Linked DNA regions of Drosophila melanogaster. The protein of the gene in region 1 purifies or fractionates together with the protein of each later gene. This does not show direct contact. Each region holds a gene or a part of one and is shown on either strand. Other genes may lie near its edges.

Region 1 (3,754 bases):
CCCAAACTTCAATTGCATTGCCTGTGTGAATGGCAGGACGCCTTGTTAATCCTGTTCCAATTACGCACATGTGAGTGCCTGCCATCCGTTGCATCCCTAATGGGCACTTTCGCTCTCGCCGCGTCCTTTGTCCCTTTGGCCGGCTTTGTCCATCGACCACTGGCCAGCGGATTGAGATTGGGAGCGGCTTAGGGCAGCCAAAATATTGATTACAGACTGTGCGACGGCTGGCTCACGATGCATTGTTTTGGGTTTTTTAGCATTTATTTACTATTGATAAAACATCAAACTGACCCTCAGTGACCCCTCAGGCATTAACAGCGCTCGCCCTTCGGAAATTTCTGATGATTTTCATCTTGTTTGGGCCTCGATTGGTTCATATTACCTTTTTATTTGCGTTACCAATTTTTTACATTGATACCAAAACAAGCTGTGAAACATAAAATATTACTTATAACAATCCTAGTTTTTAAAAACAAATCCTTTTCATAACAAGTCTTCCGTTTATCTAAATGTTGTCAGTAGCAGAAGTTGTTCATTAGATAAACTAAATATTCGAAAACATTTCTGCGACATAGTTATTTATAAATTAGGTCGAACAACTAATTTTAATTTGCCCTACTAATTTCTGGTAATTTTACAAAAATATTCTTCCAAATTTATCCTTCGAAAACATTTTTACTGCAAATCGATCCTGGTCTTGCCAAATTTACGAACCACAAAATGTTCATCTGATGCCTCCCCTGTGCATTTGATCCTCGATACAGTTTCCGCCCTCGGATCGACTGTCATCAATGGCATTGGTCATCGATTTGGCACGCCAGCGTGGCACGTGCCGAAATTAATTGCTACAATCCGGAGTCGCAGGACGAAAAGGGAGGAAGAGGCAGGACGAGCGTTCGCAAATATGTTGCACAATGCAGCTCGGGGGTGCATATTTCATATCAGCCGGCGAGGGGTTGAAATGCATCGAGAATTCACAGCTGCCCGGCACGCGACTTAAGCGAGGGTTGCAGAACGCCAGTTGTGGTGCAGTTTTTTAGTGCAATTTTTTTGGCAGTCACCAATGGGAATAGTTCGCTTTTTAGCGGCATCTTTTTTTTAGGGAAGTGATCAGCCTATCAGGATAAAGCAGGATTCGGGGTGATTAAGTATTTCATTTTATAAATTATTTCTATTTGCACTTTGAGTGAAAAATGGAGGTACAAAGATTTGTTCCTAGATTGGCTATAGTTTTAATAATTTCTCGAATGGTCATTTTAAAGATAGTTACAATTTGAATTTAAACATTTTGGAATTTAAACTATAAGTGCTTACCTATGAGGCTAACAATATAATTGTATAATTGCTAATATAGTCATAAAAAAGTTAATTAAAACCTATTCAGTCTAGTTTGTATAACAGTTTAGTTTCTCAAGTATCCTGAAGTGCGCTAGTCTCACGCACTTTTTTAGTGCCATACAGATGCAGATACATCCCAATCCGAATCCGAAAGTGTGCTCGGCATTTAGGTTCTGAGGTCTTTTTAGTCGACATAGATAAATTTGGCTCTCACTCTAGCGCTCTCTCTCTGCACGTTTTTCGGTGTTTCTCCCCGCGATCGTCATGTAGAGTATCTGTCAGATACATTTACGCGCTCAACTCAAATCGAAACCGAAACGGTGCGAATTCACTCAACTTTCGGCTCGGCGTTTTCCACGCTCACTCACCGACACACCAAGCACACACACACAAGCGCAGAGTCGAATATTGTTTTCAAGATACTGAGCTAAATATTTTTCGGGCCTGCTGCGACCTTCCTAGAAATAGTCAAACGCAACGCGGAGTCAGTGTGACGAAGTGCGTCGTGCGCAGCGGCAGCGTTTTCCTAATTTCCCCTTCGCTGAACCCAAAAATTCGAGAAAGTGCTGTAGCTGTGTTAGTGCGGGCAGTGAAAGATACAGATACAAATACAGATACGGATCTTTGGCCACATGTCTGTTCGTTGGCAGGAAAAACATGCATTTGCAGTGAAGTTTTAAGCAACATTGAATTTTGGAGCGAGTAATCAAACAATTGAAGTGGATTTTAAACTAAGAAAAATAAACTAAAAACCCAAGAAGTCAGCATGGAGAACGTACAGCTGGAAAATGGCTTGGAAAGGAGGACCACCAGCCAGAGTTCCACTTCATCAGGTTTGTTTAGAATATGGAGTAGAGTGAAACTAATTTCCAGCTAATGCATGAACGTCACACGAACGAACGTCTACATTCCCCGCTGCCCACAACAAACGTGTTTTGTGTTCCAAAAAAAGCGACAACAAATTCAATAGGAAATCTTATCAAACTGATTGCTGATTGGCTGTGCGATCGCCCTAATATTTGGTTTCTGTTTTTGTCTGGTTTTTTTTTTTTTTATACTGCGCAGTTCTTTTTTTGCTGGCGTATGTTTTTCTTGGTTTCTGTTGTGTTTTTGCCATTCGCTGATTTGATTTTTTATTGGTAAATTGGGGGGTTTCTATATACAGAGGTGTCATCAACCCCCGAACATTGACCGACTTACCATCACACTTCGATCAAGGACACAGGCAGTCCAGTTGAGGATTATCCTCGCCTCAATGCATTTGAGGCATTAGATCTGCGCAGACTTACAAACCTAATTGAACGGGGAAACCAGTTTGCGGCTTACCTATAAGAAAAGGAAAAGGACACCCAACCATCCCAAAAGGATAATCATGTAATGGTGGTGGTTTGAGTAAAGAATGAAAGATTTTCATTCAATTAGGTTTCTTATCAGACGCAAAAGAATTTCCAAGATCTTAAAAGTCCATTCACGTTCTCGCTGGAAATGAGTAAGAAAATGCTTGAGCAGCACAACGACCTAGAAATGCCAGCGCAACCCCCGAAAATGAAAATTTTAATTCCAGATAAGCCAGAGCACAGGCATGAGAATGCATTCCGAGTATCTGGGCATCTGGGCAATACTACGAGTACACTCAAGTACTAGGGCCCACTTCGACAAATATATAGATAAGCTGGCAGCGAAATGGGAGCGAGCGAAGTGAAAACAATTTATGAATGAATGAATGAATGAATGAATGAGCCAGCCCAAATGGATATGGGCTGGTGCGAGTGTGTGAGTGAGATGAGCCCCTGCTTAGATAATGGAATGAATCCACTCCGCCGCGCCGCTCGTTCAGTTATTTCCGAATATTTCTTATAATAACAACGAAACCTGTTTTCTGCCCTCAATGGGCGTTGAGTTGGGATGGGGACGTGGAGGGCTAGAGAAGAACCTAACCCAAGTTGAACTTGCCTCGCGGCAAATGGGGCAAGGACACGATGAATGTTGTTCAGCTGCCTATTTGCCGCTTGGTCATTTGAATAACAAAACCTTGAACAGAGGGATTCCCAGACAGGATATCGAATTGGGCACCGAACTCAAGTTTCATTTTCTATTCCCTCCAGCGAATCCGGCAAATCTTGCGAGTCCCACCGAGGAATGCGGTTGTGTGCGACTGGGCAAATGCAAATGGTTCAACGTGGCCAAGGGATGGGGCTTCCTTACACCCAACGACGGCGGCCAGGAGGTGTTCGTCCATCAGGTGGGTACTCTCTTTCTTGGATGAAACTGAGGTCTTTCCTTAATGCAAGGCCTTATGTACTATCCGATAGAATATGGAAAATCGGTATAATAATTTAATATTTAATGCATTAATTCAATATAATTCTCATTATAAACGTATGCATATAGAGCGTCATCCAGATGTCAGGTT
Region 2 (3,754 bases), on another chromosome or scaffold:
TCTTATCAGCCTCGGGTTCCCACCGTCCAAAAAAAAAGGCGGAACGAAGCTTTATAAATAATCAATCAACAAATATTTACAATCAAGTATTTATGTAGCGGGCGGAAAGTCGAATGCAAATAAGGTTAGACGCATTTGTACATATGTATTTTCTTAAAGGGTTCCTCTGATCAATATCTGCCCGTTTTTATCTAGCCCCGTTTATAAGGCTGTGAATGCCCCGATTGTGTTGGTCGTGATATCAATTAAATCGGCATAATCTCATGTCATCTTTTTAAACATTATGATAGATAAAATGTATTATAACGACTCTAATTACATTGGGATTAAATGGGTTTTCGGAAAATACCTATGCAGTAAATCAAATTTAAGATCAATGTGCAGTTATTTGGGGTTTCTTGAGTTAGGACCTCTGTTTTAATATTGAGAATTACTCGATATTATCTTCCGTTTTATTTTATTTTCTGATCGTGTCGGTGCACGAGAAATACATATTTCCCACTTTTGTTGCATTTCGCTGACTAATCGAAAGCTAAATACCAAATAAGTTTCCGATATGGGGGGTATGTATGTACATACATACATATATAGTACGAGTATATATAATATACACTGAATAAGCCCGAGCATACATATGTACATATGTAGATAGTGCACATGTGTATTGTGGATCGTTTTGGAGCTGGGTTTTTCTTTGCTTTTCGTCGTTTTTAAGAGACTTGAGCTGAATGAGTCGCTACCAACTGTTGCGGTGGGTTAAAGGGTGGGGGGAGGGGGCGAATGGGGATGGGGGATGAAGATGATGATTCATGCAGCTGATGTTTGGACAGGGAAGAAAGAAAGAGCGAAAGAGAAAGCAAATCGGAAGCGGCGGTATCAAACAATCTGTTTAAATAACAACAAAAGACTTTATAAGCCTGACTTTCATTTCCATTTCCAATTTATTTTTCCCAAGTCTGGCTCATTTTGTGCAAATAAACAAATGACTCATTTGTTTAAAAATTCGATGAGACTCAAGGAATGTCACATTCACAAAAATTTTCAATTTGAAATCTGAAAAGATTCAACAGCATAAGCAAATGAATTTAAGATTGCGATATTTGGGTATTATCCTTAATTGGCTGGCTGCCTAATGTAGATTTGTTTTTCTCGGTGTACCGATGCATCCTCTTTGCCCATCCACTTCTTTCTCCCCTCTTTGCTGATTTTTTTTTTTTTTGTTTTGTGAGAGGGTGGAATTCGGGATTTGGGATGTGAGCGAGAAGGATGGCCATATTTTGAATTGTGGAAACAGCCGTTCCATTATCGTTCCATTACAAATGCACACACACACACACACACACGCGCGCGTGCAGTTTGCGCTTCTCTGTGTGTGCGTTTGGACCAAATGCAATAACAATAAAAACGCGCAACTCAAATTGTTAACAAAGGTAAGGCCGTTTTTTTGGCCGGATTTGGATTCTGGTCTTGAAAGAGAAACACACACACACACACACGCACGCAAAAAACCAACGAAAATAATAACAAAACAACAACTCACCCGAACTCGAACCCGTTTCACTGTTTTCCGCTTATTATAAATTTATACTTCGTTTGGCGTTTCTTAAATGCTTTCGAATTGCATTTTGGATTTGACATTAAATCGCTCCGCGCAGCACAGTAACAAAAATAAACGGAACAAAATAAATACAACCAGCCGATTCTGGCCTTCTCACAATTCCGACTTTTGAATTATCGAAACAGAAGCGCTGCTTGGGCCAACTAAGCCAACTTAACTAACCGATCGCAGAGCGCAAAGTGTCGTATTTTCACTGTCGTCAATTAACAACAGCGGCAACAAGAACAACAAACGAAATGAGCGGCTGGGCTACAGTTTTTTAGTCCGAGCGCGATCGAACATGTTGGCTGCCTGGCAACAAGTTCGATGCGAACTTTTCTATTGATCTAAGAAATCGGCGTTCTATCGATTGACGCGCTGCGCAGGCGCCTATCGATTTTTGAAATTCTAAGCCCGCCTTAAAGGATATTTGTAGAAAAGTAGCTTGCAAAGAAATTAAATTCCTTGAAATAAAAAAGAAATTTAGTACTCTCGTTCTATACTCACTTCTATTCACTTGCGGTTAGTTAGTTAGTTTTTAATGCCACATTTTTATGATGATGACTTTTTTTCAGCTCATCTATGCGCAATCAATTTTGCGCCAAGCGACAGCTGCACATAGTTTCTTTTGACCAAGCAATCATTTATCATATAATTTTCCAAGTAGTAGTGCCAAGTTCATAACTGATGGAGTGTGCTGCCAATTTGCATGTTGTGGAGCCATTCAGTTTCAAGGTCGCGCTAATTAAATACTCGTTACAAGTGATGCCAAATGTATAAATATTTGAACAGAACGTATTAAATTAATATTATCCACTAAGAGCACTATTTTAAATTCTTAAAAACCAGATGCACGTCAAATAGATGTACATAAAAAGTATATTTACTTACAAATATCATACACGGACCTGTTTTATTCCTCATCACTGGCCATTAGTTGATAACATGTGGACTTCTATGATATCCTGCTGCATTTTTGCCGTTTAGTCAGGATTTAGAGCTTGTACACAATGCGACAGCTGAAAGGGCGAAATCGGTGCAATCGTGCTGTTCGGCATCTGAAAGTTCAGGGCAAGATGTGGTTGAAAAATCTTAAAAGCGGTTTGGAACAAATTCGAGGTGAATCTATCCAAATCGTTAGAATCCCATGAGTACGTTCATCTTAATTACCTTTTACAATCCAGAAAGCCAGGTGCGGGGAACGCGAAAGAACTTCCTACACGATGGCTCCTTCCATGAGGCAGTTGCTCCAGTTCTGGCGGTGGCCCAGTGCTTTTGCCTAATGCCCGTGTGTGGAATCAGTGCTCCAACGTACAGGGGATTAAGCTTCAATCGGCGCAGCTGGCGATTCTGGTACAGCTCCTTGTACCTCTGCTCCACGTCGGTGGATCTGGCCTTCAGCATTCGCCGTGTGGCCCACAGTGTGCTGGATGTGCGCAGTGTGGGTGAGATTAAATGATGCTTTTCTTCGCAACATACCAATTGCATATGTTAATTACCATTTAGAGCCCATCGTTTTTCACGTTAGCATCCTGATCGCCTCCTGGCAGTTCCTGAACCTGGCCCAACTCTGGCCTGGATTGATGCGCCACTGGGCGGCGGTGGAGCGACGGCTACCGGGCTACACCTGTTGCCTGCAACGTGCTCGTCCTGCCCGTCGCCTCAAGTTGGTGGCCTTCGTGCTGCTGGTAGTTTCACTGAGTTGGGTCACCAAATTTGTTTGGGTTTGGATTTCGCTGAGTATAACCGGGCGTGCTTTTTTTTCCAGTGGAACACCTGCTGAGCATCATTTCGGTGGTTTACTACGACTTCTGCCCACGAAGAAGCGATCCCGTGGAATCCTATTTGCTTGGCGCCAGTGCCCAGTTATTCGAAGTGTTCCCCTACTCCAACTGGCTGGCTTGGCTGGGCAAGATCCAGAATGTGCTGCTCACCTTCGGCTGGAGTTACATGGACATATTCCTAATGATGCTGGGCATGGGTCTCAGCGAGATGTTGGCCAGGCTGAACCGCAGCCTGGAGCAGCAGGTGCGACAGGTGGGCTAACTAACTAACTTTCCTAACACACATCCATCATGATCGAGGATGGATATTTATAGCCCATGCCGGAAGCCTATTGGACGTGGTCACGCACTCTTTATCGCTCCATAGTAGAGC

What was found.
Region 2: the proteins of lin-28 (region 1) and Tre1 purify together in Drosophila melanogaster (affinity purification with mass spectrometry, with the first as the bait; one large-scale study listed by BioGRID). This does not show direct contact.

Annotation. Positions count from the first base shown.
Region 1 is NT_037436.4:5,652,873-5,656,626, forward strand, and holds the start of lin-28 (lin-28), read left to right. Parts: upstream 1-1,808; 5' UTR 1,809-2,107; coding exon 2,108-2,174; intron 2,175-3,446; coding exon 3,447-3,583; intron 3,584-3,732; coding exon 3,733-3,754.
Region 2 is NC_004354.4:5,678,120-5,681,873, forward strand, and holds the start of Tre1 (trapped in endoderm 1), read right to left. Parts: upstream 1,859-3,754; 5' UTR 1,541-1,858; intron 1-1,540. Other genes in the region: Gr5a (gustatory receptor 5a), read left to right, coding at 2,608-2,716, 2,782-3,042, 3,104-3,298, 3,366-3,634, 3,697-3,754. UniProt on the Drosophila melanogaster protein: Essential for the first active step of germ cell migration: transepithelial migration of germ cells through the posterior midgut (PMG) epithelium.